Linked DNA regions of Xenopus tropicalis. The protein of the gene in region 3 interacts with the protein of the main gene of each other region in a biochemical or structural test. Links are inferred from orthologs where the notes say so. Each region holds a gene or a part of one and is shown on either strand. Other genes may lie near its edges. The genes, in order: rpa2, creb1 and atm.

Region 1 (4,483 bases), about 80 Mb from region 3:
CCACACGACCATCTTACTTCTAATTCCCAGGTTTATGCTTGGGAATGGTCAGTATACAAAAGCTGGAAAATGTTACTATACTGTGCATGCTCAAGCGCAAGCCTATGCAAGGGATCCCTGGCAATAGGTAAGATGGCAAGACAGTGCTTCTTTAGAAACCTCCCAAGTCTGATGCCTTAAGAAAAAACAAGATTTGATTCAAAGGTGATGCCTAACATTTTTGCATCCTCTGGTTAATAAGCTTTTCCTTGTTTTCACAAAAAATTCACACAACTTTACATCCAGGTTGTTTAAAGTGATACGGATACCAAAAAATTTCTTACTTCCAAACCTATCTATAGGTCATGCTGTTTTTTCCTAAAACTCCTGTTTCTCTACATAAATCCTCCTGAAGATCCTGAAACAGACTGTCTGGCAACCAGACTGTAGCTTCTCAATCTGTCAAAAGGACTACGTCATAAACTGGGTGGATTCACCTTGCCGTTTGCTTCAAAGAGTTCCCCCTCCCTCCTCACACTGTGAACTAGATAGCAAGCAGGCTTGATCTTTCCATTGCCTGCCTGCGTCGCACGAAGAATTTAAATAGCTTTCCCGTACCTGCCTGCCTGCTTCTAAGGGCTCTCTCTTCCTCCCCCTCCCCATTACACATAGACAACGAAGCTGAGCTTGTCACACACCGGCTGAAAGCAGAAGGGGCATTGCAGGTTTGTGATTGGGCATATTTATTCACTTGGAAGGCATTTAAATTAAAACCCGGAAGAGGGGAACAAACATGGGTCTGTACTTCGTGCTACCATAATTATGAAGCGAAAAAACTACGCAGATTTAGTTTATAAGGAATTTGAAGCTGATACAAGTTAAAAGACAACAGCAGGTGTAAAAAATAAAAAAAATTCATTGGCTGTCAGTATCACTTTAAGAAACAAAGACTAAATGGATTTATTCCTGCGTAAATTAAAATCCTACATAAATACATCCATACTAGACATCTAGACATGACTAGTTTTGTGAGGATTGCATACCTAATTGTGTTTACATTCATTCCATGAAGTCTATTTTTCAGTTCTTCAAAAGCCATGCCTTCGTTTCCTTTGAAGCTTTTGATCAAATTAAGAATCTGCAATAACACAAAAATACAAATGTTAGGGAAATTTTGTTTGCAGTGCAATTTGCTGAAGCAACGCTTTTTATTTCTCTCTTTTATAAGGTAAATCCATAATTTTTTGTTGCTCTAGTATCCACAGCTTCTATAGGACCATGACAAACTACTCACTATTCTTTTTTTGGACACCGACTTCTTTTCAGTTACCTGGCTCTGATGTGGCGTCAGCCCATTTGTCGCATTGTCATTTCCACCTGAGAATGCTCCACCACTGTCACCAAGGCGTCCAGGTGTATTGAGTGCCACCGCTGATCCGCCTCCTGAAGGCTGTAAAAAGGAGTTTGTTTGAATCTGAATTGAAAGTCACAAGAATTTCTCAAAGAAATGAAGTGCCAACATATCCAGGTTCCAAAAATTCAAGAATAATATTTAAAAGTGTGACATTTATAACACAAATATTGAAGGGGAAACTATACCTTAAAATTGCAGGTCTCTTAAAATATATTGCATAATAGAGCCCATACTTTTTGCTTCATCTAAAAAAAACATTTCCATAAAAATATACTTTTCTAGTAATGTGTGCCTCTGAATAATCCTGAATAGAAAAATTACTAAAGGCCACCCCCGGCTCAGACACAAACATGCAAGTTAGATCTCTGAGGGAGCACACAGACCATCACAAAACAGTGGTTCAAGGGACAAGATGTAAAAGGGCAGGATTTACTGATATATATTCATCTAGCAAGATCCTTTAATGGTCACTAATTATGATTTAAATTATCTGTTTAATAATTAAAGGTACAGTTTTTCTATCGGAGTATTTCTCTTGCAGTAACATAGTAGCCATTGGTGTAACTAACTATAAATCTATACTGTAATTTTCATAATTATGTTAATCATATGTAGCACATAACACACCTCCATGATAAATAATCACTTCACAGTGCTGTGAGCCATTTAAACAAGCTTTTATAATTTACAGAAAAGCTTATAAAAGGAGAAGGAAAGGCTAATAAAGAGTTAATCCCAAGCTGCAGGCATACCTTCAGTTGTCTCAATAGTGCCCTTAAAGGAACAGTAACACAAATATTTCAGTTTTAATAAATATATGCCTTCTAAATACTATTATTAAGATATGTATCTTGGAAAAATTGCAGCATCATAAGTGGTTTTTGAATAATTTATATTACAACTGATTTACTGGGCAAACCTTCAAAAGGCGATACGGCGACTCCTTGGCTTCCGTGCTAATCCGGAAGTTATCTTGCCGCATTCTTTAGAGTCTTCGGGGTCATTTTTTGGAGTGATTTATGGTTTTGTTGGGGATTGTGTAGGGAGAGGGATGGGGGACGGAGCGTTTCTACTTGACAGCTAAGACTGCCTGCCTGTAACAACGGATCGCTATGTAAGCCTGCACAGGGAGGGGGAGGAGGGGTGTGCTGCCCGGAAGCTTGCTACGAGAGTTGGAGGAGATCTGCTGCCTGAGTTCAATAAATTAATGGAAAGGTTAATTTTCAAGAAAACCACTTATACTTTTGTAATTTTTCCATGATATATTTTCTAATAAAAGTATTTTAAAAAGATATTTTGAATTTTAAAAAATTGTGTTACAGTTCCTTTAAGTTTCCCCATATTTCACCTGTTCAGAAGATCTGAAGCCAAACCGGAAGAAAAAACGCTGAGCTGTGTAAAAAAGATTCCCATAATGGCTCACTCCTGCCCAGACATGCAGAACAAACTGTACATGCTCAGTTAGTTAGACTTAGACTAACTTAGTAAGTTAGCGTCCTGCTGATTGGCTCATATCCACATTCCTAAGGGGGGGGAGTGAGTTCTTAGCATTCTTGAGGGAGGGGGAGCAGGAAAGAGCAGAGAACAGAAAGCTGCGTGTCTCTGGCACAGGAATTACAGACACAACTAATCTTTTTTCAGAGAAGTGTATTTACATAGACCTTTCTGTTAAAGCTTACTTAGTTTTTACCTTTCTTTGATTTTACCAGAGAACCAGCAAATTATAAACAAAAATAAAAGATGACTAGAAATTACAAGTATGCTTCCCTGATCATTACTTTGAATTCTGCCTATTAACCAGCTGTTTAAGAGCAGGGTAAAGAGTTAATTTTAACTTACCGCTCCCTGGGAATTCATGGTCATGTGAGCGTGAACAACTTCCAGCATATGAGAAACAAACTCGTTCATATCATCAACAGGAGCAATCTTAAATGCAACAACACTTTTCTTGTTCTGGAAGGATATACAAATTTTAAATACTCAGTGACATTTTCCAGTCCTCCATTTTCTTTTTTGGCTAAATATAAATTTTATTCTCTGCTCTGCCTTGCTACAGTATTTTCACTAGGACAGCTAGTGCTTTCATGAAGAAAATTTTCTAACAAAAATAATGTTGTTCCAGAAGTAAAAGCTTCATTAAAATAATTACCTGGAAGGAACGAAGGTGACCAGCTACTTTTACATAACTCCCTGGAGGGACCACCATATTTTCACAGCTTGCCTCCTGCAAAGAAAATGATTGGGACTTTGCACATTTTACAGTGGTAAAACTAGAAGCAGTTATATAATTGTCCATGGTTTAAATATAAAGAAATCTAGTTGAAACAGGACAGTAATATCTTACATCTGTGTCCACCCACTGTCTGACATCCATTGGTGCTGCAGTCATATCATCCACTTTGTAAAGAATATTTGTCGGAGCTTTTTCTGCATGCCTGACAATGCCGACTATAGTAACCTAAAAAAAAAAAAAAGAAGAAAAACATACTTTCATAAAAAAAATATTAGCATAGGCATATCTATTTCAAGAGATATGGTGCACATTACATTACTTGTTGGTTCCTCTTTGAACAACAACAAAGTATTTCAAGTTCACATTCCACCAAGGGTATATAGGCACCTAAATGCACAATCTTCCCAATAGCCGACTAGTAAAAAGGTATTTATTGGATCACTATTCTTCTTTCAAGCGAAATAATATTAAGGGGTTATGCATAACAGGACCATATATTAAAGGGGAACTATACCTATACAACTATTCAACACACAACACATGGATAATTCCTTATAAAGCACCTCAACTCATATGATACACTGGGGGTCACACAAAAAAACAGTGGCATGCACGTGTTCTAAGTCACATCAGTCAATGAAGGGGAAGAGCTGTGTCTTTTACCAAAACACCTCTTCCTGTTATAGTTAGAACCTGCATTATCTGTTCTCTGAGGTAGCACAAAGACCACTGCAAAACAGTGGCTCGAGTGAGATGTAAAAAGAAATACAGGCATAGGACCAGTTATTCAGAAAGTTTCGAATTATCGAAAGGCCATCTCCCATAGACTTCCTTTTAAGGAAATAATTCACATTTTA
Region 2 (5,576 bases), on a different chromosome or scaffold from region 3:
AGCACTGTAAAAAGAGCATTTTGACTATAGCTACAACTTGGACATATTAAATGTTTGTATATTTAAACTTACACTTATAAAGTATAAAATTAAGGTGTGCAAGATAGAAGTTGAAATGTCTGTTTGCTTCACCTTTTGGTATAAAAAGACTTATTAAAAATACATAACAAAATGATTCACTTTGAGAACCTTGGCACAGCCCACTTATGTACAGTCTGGGACCTGTTACTAAGAATGCTCGGGACCCAGGGCTTTCTGGATAAGGGATCTTTCCGTAATTTGGATCTCCATACCTTAAGTCTACTAAATAATCATTCAAACATCATTTAGCCTCCAATAACGATTAAGTATCTTAGTTGGGATCAGGTACAAGGTACTGTTTTATTAGTACAGAGAAAAAGGAAATAAAATTTAAAAATTGGAATTTTTTTTTTTTTATAATGTCTATAATGTCTATAAAAGACGGCCTTTCTGTAATTCTGAACTTTCTGGATAATGGGTTTCCGAATAATGGATCCCATACATGTATCTGGAAAAAGTTGACTCAAAACTAAAACCTGCACAGGAGGTGTTAATACAATTGCTGAAGAACATATAAATCTCAGAGACATATACTATATGCACTGTTTTCTGTTCTATTTATGCAGATTTGCAGACCGTCCACAGCAAAATAAATACGCTTTACTTCTATACGGCAATGTGCTGTGTGAAAAGCAGCTCAACATTTCTGTGCTACTTTTGCACACTTATATATATGACATATCACAGGCCTTAAGACAGGGAAGCGTCTCATTATACAATATTTATTTCCTGCTATTTAGATTTATTTTATCTTATGGACAGACTGGGATTCACTCAGCAAAATATGCCAAAGGTATATACTAGAATTTGCCATACAAGACATTTCTCTATTATTATGTACTATAATAAAAGGCCACAGCTACAGGTTTTTAACAGCATTATTATACTAGGATGGGAGAGGTATGTGTCACCCTCATAGTGTTTCTATCAGTTTTGTTTTCCTTTTAGTAATCAAAATGAAAACCTGCAAAGCCCTTGCATAAAAAGAAAGTTTTCATCTAATGTATTATTAAAATGAAAACAACTTTGAAATATACCTCAGAGCTTAAGTGTATGATGATCTCTGCCTATTTATGAAAGTGTTCAATAACTAGAGTATAACGAAAAAAAAAAAAAAAATACGCATGCAGCTTATTTGGGGTTTCTGGAAAGGGGCTTTGAAAAGGCAGACTTACAGGAGAATGTTCAAAGTGTTGGGAAAAAAAAACAACCTATCCCGCCTAACAGGAAGTGACTGAATAAGCAAAACACAAATACAAAAAATAAAATGCAAGCATTTTTGTTTTTAACTTTATTGCATTTCAAGGGAAAAACAGCATTCTTATGGGGGGGAACCCTTTGAAATCCATCTATATGCACTGTAAAGTTTACTTGGTGTTTAAAAACATCTCTAAAGAAGTCTATAACTGTTTGCCATTAACCAAGAATATAAAACAGTATTCTAATTACTGAAATATTTAAGCCTTAAATTAAAATATCACAAATAAAGCCAAACTATGTTTGTCTGCATTCAAATTAAATCAATTAATATTTAAGCGATATCAGGTCACTTATAAATGTTAGAATTAACGAGCACACTAATATGTACCAACCCCCCTGAAGCCATGTTATAGGGTACCAGCAATGAAGTTTTAGCAAGTTTAATTGTGTGTAAATGAGTGCTTTGGGTATTCACATATTAGCCCCAAACGGACAAGCTAGAACTTGGGTCTCTAAATTGACCAATACAAATTACAGCTTTCTAGAACCTGGGGTCCTTAGCCCTCTACTTGGCAGAATGTTTGAGTACCACAAAAGTTGTGCTTTAATGCTTCCCTGCAATTACTAAGGTGATGTAGATTTCATACTTTTGAAGTCTAATCATACCTGACATACTTTAAATGCAGATCTGCATTAAGTAGACAATACTAAATAAAACAAAATGTAAAGATCTATTATAAACAAATTTTATTCTCACTGTCCAGATGTTTTCATCAAACAAAAAGTAATGAGCAAGCATGAGGGAAATAATGTGGAAGTTCAATAAGGGATTGCAGTGCAACAAAATATATGGACAAGAAAACCGTACCAGTCTTGGATGAAACATGGAAATCTCTGAAATGTTACAATCTTCATTTCTTCATGAAAAATGTGTCAAAATACATACACAGACTGCCAGAGAGACATTGGGGCCAATTCTGTTTTTAGAGCTTCAAACATTCAACACAGGATAAAAAAAACTGCAGAACAAGGGTCACATAAATATGAAGCTTTAAAAGCAGGATTAGTGGAACCTCCCTCTGGTAATCTTGGTCAAAGAGCTCACCCTCACCAGTCTACACTGACCCTTGATGCTGCTGTTACCCAACCAGTGGACAACTATTAAACCATGACTAGAAGGATGCCCGGGAGCTGGGGTAAGAATATACAGTAAAAAAATAAAAATATCTACCCATTGCTGCCAGAAGAGCAGACAGTTGGTGAACCCTGACGATCAGATATTTCAGGAACCCACTAACAATTCGAAATGAAGTCATGCTCAGCAAAAAGACCTGCCTGCTTTCCCTCTGTACCAACTAGCGAGCCACTCAAGTCCAACCTGCGGCCCTTCAGCTACTAATATGCAGCCCTCAGCTCATCCTGACAGGACCTTTAGTTCGACCCCGGCTGGAGTGCCGCAGGTAGGAGCATTGTTTATAAATAATAACCTAAGAGTCACGTTAAACTTTAAAAAGAAATTTAACTTTAAAAAGTAGTGTTAAAAAATATGGGAGGAAAAGAAGAATTCGTTCATCGCATCATGAATATTCCCCTTTGAATGAAGACTATATTGCGGGAAAACATGAACGATACTAGTCGCATGTATCTAACAAGCCACAAAAAAAAATATATATATACATACACACATATATAATATATATATATATATATATGTGTCGTGATAAGCACCGTTGACTGTCGCGACAGTGAAAGATTGCGGAGGTCTCCCCACCGGTGACCCCCTGTGGCTGTATCGCACACCCCAGCTCTTGCCGCCGCCGGCTGCCTCCTCCCGGCCGCCATTATCCTTTGTTTCGCGGCTCTTTATTTCACCCCCTCCGCACGGTCTCCATTTTTACTATGGCGGGGTAAACATTCTGTATTATCTAAGGGGGTAAAAAGGGGAACCATGACAGGCGGGAAAGCAAGCTCGAAGGAAAAGCCGGCGCGCTGTTCTTGGCAGCCCCCAGAAATCCCTCCCTACAATCAGTTGCCGCCTGGGTATTTGTGAAAGCAGCCGGCGGTGAGGCCTGCTCCATCTCTTTTCCTCCATGCCTCTCCCTCTCCTCCTCCTTCCTCTTACCGGGTTACACTGCCTCTCCTCCGTCACTGCTTTCGTTCGCGGCTGGGATCTCGCTGGGCTTTTTTTTATTCTCTTCCCCACCACGTAACACACCGCGTCAAACTACACCTCCGCCGCGTCACTGCTGCTCTTGCTCTCTCTTCTTCCTCTTGTGGTGGCGCTAGTTTTTTTTTTTCTTAAGCTCAGGCCCGGGCGCGGCGTCAGGGCGGCGGGCTCTTTTCCGACAGGACACTGAGGAAGGCCTCGACAGACTAGGCAGCCAACAGCAGAGGGCGGGGCGGAGCTAGCGCAGGGTGGAATCTGGGCAGGCGCAGAAGTTAGGCCTTAGTAAAACCTTTCTGCTGCAGTTGTACTACAGTTCCCAATACCCCTTTCCGACACTGTAAGCGGAAACCCGTGTATCTACTGATGCGACAACTTGCACAGGCTGCAGTAAAGCTACAGAGCTAACAGGCAGTTAAGGTTGGTGAGTGTGGGAATTATGAGAAACGGGCTTTGGTTACCCGCGGCGACCTTACCTGTGCTTTGGCTGCTTTGGCTGAATGAACAGTGCCGTTGTTGTGATTAAAGCTATCAGTTTAGTTTTCATGTTTTACAGGTTAGTCTGATAGTTTTATTACGATTCTAGAACAGATAACGTTACCCTGTCGCCCTTCTTCTTTTTAAATCGGAGCTGTTTCATGAAGTGCTTATGACGCTATAGTGTACTTGCCACCTTGAGTATTAGGTGGCCTGATGAAGGGGTTCGCCCCCGAAACGTTGCCTTGAATAAACACGCAGGGGTTATACCCCACTTGCACTTTACTTGTTGTGCCGGCTGAAATCATTTTTACTGGACTTTGCGGAGAGTGCGGACTCTCTGGGCCGTGCACCAAGTAGCTAACCTGTTGGAGGAGGTAAGGGTGTGCTGGTGTAACTATTTTTCCATTGCAACTTAAGGTTGCCATACGGGGCCAGATTTCAGATGCTAATTCTGTTCCTTAAGACCGACTCTGCAGCTTATTTGCCCCTGCATGGGACCCTCCGACAGAACCCCCCCAACAGATATCTGGCCAAAAATGATCCAGATGTTGATTGTACGTGCTTGATTTTTTGCAGGATCGGGGACTGCATTGGCTTATTGATGTGGTCCTTGATCTGGCTTTTCCTATCCCCTTCATTGCAATGTGATGGGGCACGATATCACCCACCCAAGGTAGGCATATCGGGTGAAAGATTTGCCCGTTTAGTGACCTTGCCATGTATGGCCAACTTTAAAGGAACAGTAACATCAAAATATGAAAGCATATTAAAGTAATTACAATATAATGCACTGTTGCCCTGCACTGGTATAACTGGTGTGTTTGCCTCAGAAAGACTATTATAGTTTATATAAGCAAAGCTGCTGTGTAGCCATGGGGGCAGCCATTCGAATGAGAAAAGGCACAGGTTACTTAGCAGATAACAGATAAAATGTGATTGTATTCTATAGAGTTTATTTGTTATCTGCTATGTAACCTGTGCCTTTTCTCCTTTTTTCCAGCTTGAATGGCTGCCCCCATGGCTACACAGCAGCTTATTTATATATAGACTATAGGAGCGTTCTGTAGCAAATACACCAGTTTTACCAGTGCAGGGCAACAGTACATTACATTTTAATTACTTTAAAACACTTTCATATTCTGGTGTTACTGTTCCTTTAAGTATTAAGAATGGATTGAGATCCAAAAATATCTTCCCACTTGTGATCCCCTTTAGTACAGAGTAATAGGCGTTAGAGTGGTGCATGATTGATTCTAAACAAAAATTTTGGTCTTAAAGCTGACTTCCAGTGCTACCTTAAAGTCCCTTGGACCGATTCGGCAGCTAATCGGCCCGTGTATGGATACTCCCAACGGGCCTGCCCTACCGATATCTGGCCTGAAATCGGGCAGATCTCGATTGGGCAGGTTAGAAAATCTAGTCGGCTCGTTGATGCGGTCCCTGGACCGACTTTTCCTATACCCTCCATTATAATCGAATTACCCTGGATTCTCCCGATTTTGCCCACCCGTAGGTGCCCACCAGGTTGCATTTATATGACCATAAACGCTGCATCATGTAAAAGCATGTGTTGCTGAGTACAACTCTGTTCTATGCCAAAAAATAATCATGAAATGGATGAGGCCCCAAACTTTCCCCCCAATTGTCTGAT
Region 3 (5,476 bases):
GACCAGAGGGCTCATTTACAACACACAGAGAAAGGGGGAGAGGGCAGAAAAGCAGAAAAAGTGTTAATTACAAGACGGAGCTGCTATCTCGCTCCCTTCCCATTGTTCTGCTGATCGGCTGCTGGGAGGAGGGTGATATCACTCCAACTTGCAGCTCAGCAGTAAAGTGTGACTGAAGTTTATCAGAGTACATATAAAAAAATCTGTGTTTTTAAGGGCTCTGGCACACGAGGAGATTTGTCGCCGGCGATTTTTAAAAGAGCGATTTGGCGACAAGACGAGCGACAAGACGCCAATGGAAATCGCCAGCGTCAAAACATACGAGGCTACTTCAAATCGCCTGCTGTTTCAAATCGCACACAGACCCTTTTCTGAGCGACTTAAGTAAACATGAGGGGGGGGTTAACTGTTGAGTGTACCATGGGTAGCAGATCGCCTGGAGCTCAACTCGCATGAAATCTCTTCGTGGGTATTGTCGTGGCGACTTGTCGCCAAAGCGCCAGGAGGAAAAACGCAGGCGACAAATCTCCTTGTGTGCCAGAGCCCTAAAAAAACGGATTTCAATGCAGGATTCTGCTAGAGAAGCTCTATTAACTGATTCCAGGGCTCTGATGAGCTATATCCTATTGGAAATTGGCCACAGGTAGTTTCTAGCTCTGTTTACTGCAAGGTTATATACAGCCAAAAATGCAATTATGTGCAATGTGCCACACCCTAGTGATACCTAAAAACTAAATAACATTTACTTAACTTATCTCACAGCTGAACAGCTGTGATTACACTGAAGGCAGCACTGGTCAGGGTCTGTGCAAAAAGAAAGAATATAGGGTTCTATATGGCTGCACCCTAAATCTGAAGGTAATTTTTTGGTGATAGAGGAGAAAAGTCCCAGCAGCAAATTCTCACAACAAAACTTTAAATTTTGAAACATATCTTTAAAATACAATTCGACCTTTAGCTTCTTCTTAAAACTCTTTAAGCACCTGGATGGTTTGGCAGCAGCTCCTGAAAAAATCTTCCAGAAATCTGTGTCAGCCGGTATTAGACCTCCTTGTAAGATGGAGCCCAGTAAGGCAAAACTTTCCTCTTCTGTTTGGGGAGAACTGATGCTACGCAACGTAACAGCCCAGATTTTAGACCACAGTTTGTACAGATCTGATTTTGGTGTGATCTTCACATCTGTTTTTTGCTTTTGACAAACGGCAACCTCTTTTAGGCAGCGAAGCACATAAGCGGCCCTCTCGCCTCGTCTCTGCTGGGCAAGTAACTGGTGTAGAACCGTCAGTAATGGAGTCAGCTCATTGCTAGGCAGGCTCACTGGGTATCGGGCAATCAAGCAGGTTGCAATTTGTAACCTAGAAACGTTGAATACAGAAACTGTCAAATAACAAAATGACCACAACTGCCAAAATCCAAGTAACTTTATTCATTTTTCTCTCTATATGATCACTTAGGACCTGGGTGCATAAAGGCAAGGGCTACTTCTGGCACTGCCTAGTAGGAAACTTAGCCAAAACCGATAGGGGTGGCATACCATACCCCCCTTGGGCATTGTGATACTTAAGTAAAAGCAGTAGGAAAATCCCAGCTCTTGTATAGGAAATCAGAATCCAAGTGCTGTTTCAACAGTAGATAATCCTTGGTGGTCCACTACTGAACCACTATTGAACCAATAGGAAAGAGCAGATGTCAGCATATTATAACTTCTGTCTGCAGGAAAATAATTTTCAGTTACCTAATAATCTTCTCTGGACAAAAGTAATTGTATTTATAATATGCTGAGATCTCATCTAATTTGTAAATATTTATTTTATTATGCTTCACAAATAGTGTATAAATTTATATATTGAGTGGGGCCACCCTGAAGTGCTTTTGGAGTTGTTTTTAGGACTGAGATATTAGTTAGTGCTATGTGCCTATGGATTCTCATACTATTGTGAGAGCACCCATCTTGACCACATGCATTTTTCTGCTTAGAACAGCCAATTCTTAGCAACTTTTCAACTGGTCTTTTTGGTTTCTTTATTTTTTTTTATAGTTTAATTATTTGCCTCCTTCTTCTTTCAAGCTTCCAAATAGGAGTCACCAAATAGGGGGTCCATGAACTATAGCTCTGCCAAGCTACAATTTTATTATTAATCATTTTTATTATTTATCTTTTTATTCAAACTTCAAAGCTCCTATTCATAATATAGTCTCTAATTCAAACCACTGCCTGGTTGCTAGGGTAATATGCATCCTAGCAACCAGATAGCTGCTTTAATTTAAATCTGGAGATTTGCTGAACAAAAAGCTGAATAATTCAAAAACCACAAATGATAAAACATGAAGTTCATATTACCAAGGGATGATATCAAAATCTTTATGGGACTTCTGAAGGTTGTCACGTAGCACTTCCCACCCAAGTTCAATCCTTCTGCGCTTGCTGGGGGCTCCAGATGGTTCCCTTTGGGTCACTAGGAAAGCAGCCTGTGTGATATCCAGCACCTGAGTGTCTTCAGTGAATAGCTGGACAAAGAGAAACTGGGTTGTTATTGGCTGGAAGGACTGATCTTTTCACTATAAAGCAGATGTGGACATTGAACGGGCTATGGTAGGTAGATGGTATTAATGTCTATAAGCAATAACCTTTTCCACAATGCTCTATGAAAATGGAAAAGATAAAAACCAGTTCAACAGAGACCAAGACAAGAGGTCAGAATTTATTCGTTTTCCTAAAATGTGGTGCTGTCCTCCTTGGTGGACCAGAATTTACTGGTACCAACAGCAACATATTTTTAAAGCTCAATTAAATTAATATATATTGCTCAGAAGTTTCTGGCAGAAAACAAAAAATTTACCTGATGACAAATGTCAGCCATCAACTCAATCAAGTTTTCCTTGGCTGCAATGTTTCGGGAGCCTGAGGAATATTTCCCTCTGCTGCCTATCTGGCTGATCTCATTTACCAGTGTGTCATATAAGTTGTACAAGTTCCTTTTCCATCTGTCTGGATCAAAAGCGTAAGCACCTGGGTAAAAATAAAATCATTAAAAACATTAATAAAGCAAATTCCATATGTCTTTATCAGAGCTTTCCAGCGACGTTTCAGCACTTCACCCTTCCCATATTAAAGTGGTTGCTGTTTACTCTTGAGTTAGATTTTAGTATATTGTAGACAGTTATTTTGAGACAATTTGCAACTGATGATCATTTTCTATTAATTTGAGGTTTTGAATTATCTCTTTGGAATTTTAGCACTTATTTGGTTGCTAGGATTCAAATTACTTTAGCGACCAGTAAGTACGAATGAATGAATGAGAGACCTAAATAAAAAAATAAGTAATAAAAAGTAAAAATACCAATAAAATTGTAGCCTCACAGAGCAATAGTTTTTGTGGAAAAGATTTTGTTCGATCTACTCTGTAAATGTTTGGGTTCTTAAGGGGTCTTAAAGTATAAAAAGAGTAAATGTACTTGTAATGTACTCAGAACTACCCCTTATACAATTCTAGAAGCAGCAAGCATATCACAAATCTCAGGGGATTCAACAACCACGCATTGCATGGAAAGTTAAATGTGAGGAATTAGAAGCTGCACCTTCATCTACAGTCTTGGCTCCTTTTGGATGATGAATTCGAAGAAGTAACCTGAAGAACTCCACAATCTCCTCCTTCAGTGCATCTTTAGGCCTTTGAATTGTCCAGATCCGCAATACAGTGAGGAACAAGTCCTCCCCCAGCCTGCACACTCGCATCCGGCAATTCCCTGAGGCGCTGGTAAGGAACACATTCAGAGCAGAGAGGATCTGATCCAGACCAGGTGGGTTTCTCTCATCCCTGGCAAACAAAGCAACACCAAAACATTACCATACTTTAGAGAAGGAACCAGTCAAACATCTATTTCTTTTCAATGATTTTTATTTGCATTTTAACTTTTACAGGTTGGATATCAATATAATGTCATTTTGTATTGAACAATCTATTTCCTTAAAGAGAGAAGAGAGAAAAGAGAGAAGAAGGAAGAGAGAAGTGGTAGTCAAACATCTATTTCTACTACTGTTTAAAGGAACAGTAACACCAAAAAATGTATATATTTTAAAGAAATTAAACTATAATGTACTGCTGCCCTGCACTGGTAAAGTTGTGCGTTTGCTTCAGAAACATTACTAGAGTTTATATAAACCCTGGTGTGTAGCCATGGGGGCAGCCATTCAAAAGAAGAAAAGGCACAGGTTATATAGCAGCTAACAGATAAACCCTGTAGAATACAATGGTGTCTTATCTGTTATCTGCTATGTAACCTGTGCCTTTTCTCCTTTTTTCCAGGTTGAATGGCTGCCCCCATGGCTACACAGCAGCGTATTTATATAAACTATAGTAGTGTTCCTGAAGCAAACACCCTAGTTTTACCATTGCAGGGCAACAGTACATTTTATTTCAATTACTTTAGAACACTTTCATTTTTTGGTGTTACTGTTCCTTTAAGGAAACTAGCACATACTAGTACCCAATAATGATGTACTAAAGTCTCCCTAGTGTCCAACATATTTTTGTAAGAGAAGGTTTGTCTGTTTGCCCTCCACTGAATCAATTTTTGTTAGTTTTTTTCATGCTACCTAACCAGTCATAATATATTTACGAGCTATCTTTGTAACCTATATCAGCACAACTCTAGAAAGAAATTATTGGTGAATCCTGTGATTAACTACCGATGTTGGAGTCAGGTTGTTGTTCACCCAAAATGTGCAGAAACATGTAAAAAATATACTAAAATATATGCTGTTTAGGACAAGGAACATGGGAAATTTTGGCAAAACATATGCATCACCGCTTTATAAAGTTGGTTGAAGTCGCTTCTCAAAAAAACTAGGGGCTACGGATAAACATCCTGTGTGCAATTGCCAAAATCATTCAGTACACCCAATTTGCAATTTAGTCAGGATTAGTTTGTATTAATAATGAATGATTGTAGTTGCATTACTATGGAACAGTCAATTAGGTAAGAATGAAGAATTGTTTATATTTAAATAATATACTGTGGGCACTGGCATTTCTGATATCAAACCATTCTGCGTAGGGCCTTATGGATAATCAACTAACAAATGGAATGTTTAACCTCTTGTTAAAGGAGAACTAAACCCTAAAAATGAATATGGACAGAAATGCCATATTTTTTACACTGTACTTACTGCACCAGCATCTCAATAGCAGCAATGATCCAGGACTTTTAAACTTGTCACAGGAGCTCCCCATCTTGGAAAGTGTCTGAGATACTCCCATGCTCAGTGCACTCTGGGCAGCTGTTGGAAAGCTAAGCTTAGGGGTCTTTGAAAATTATCAAGCAGAAAATGAGGTTTGCCTGTCATATAAGTTAATGCTACAGGGCTTATTATTAAATTCTGATGATAATTGCACTGGTTTCTGAGTTACCATGGAGTAGTTATCTGTATAATTATCTGTCGGTCCCTAAGCTCAGGTAAGTGACAGCAGCTCAG

The links.
Region 1: of the proteins of atm (region 3) and rpa2, one has a biochemical effect on the other in vitro, tested with the Homo sapiens proteins (3 studies listed by BioGRID). The link is inferred for Xenopus tropicalis from reciprocal best matches to the Homo sapiens genes ATM and RPA2.
Region 2: of the proteins of atm (region 3) and creb1, one has a biochemical effect on the other in vitro, tested with the Homo sapiens proteins (2 studies listed by BioGRID). The link is inferred for Xenopus tropicalis from reciprocal best matches to the Homo sapiens genes ATM and CREB1.

Annotation. Positions count from the first base shown.
Region 1 is NC_030678.2:79,458,595-79,463,077, reverse strand, and holds part of rpa2 (replication protein A 32 kDa subunit), read right to left. Parts: intron 3,852-4,483; coding exon 3,738-3,851; intron 3,618-3,737; coding exon 3,543-3,617; intron 3,347-3,542; coding exon 3,233-3,346; intron 1,430-3,232; coding exon 1,310-1,429; intron 1,118-1,309; coding exon 1,023-1,117; intron 1-1,022. UniProt on the Homo sapiens protein: As part of the heterotrimeric replication protein A complex (RPA/RP-A), binds and stabilizes single-stranded DNA intermediates that form during DNA replication or upon DNA stress.
Region 2 is NC_030685.2:49,782,344-49,787,919, forward strand, and holds the start of creb1 (cyclic AMP-responsive element-binding protein 1), read right to left. Parts: upstream 3,538-5,576; 5' UTR 3,404-3,537; intron 1-3,403.
Region 3 is NC_030678.2:159,881,238-159,886,713, forward strand, and holds part of atm (serine-protein kinase ATM), read right to left. Parts: intron 3,819-5,476; coding exon 3,580-3,818; intron 3,011-3,579; coding exon 2,841-3,010; intron 2,509-2,840; coding exon 2,342-2,508; intron 1,356-2,341; coding exon 984-1,355; intron 1-983.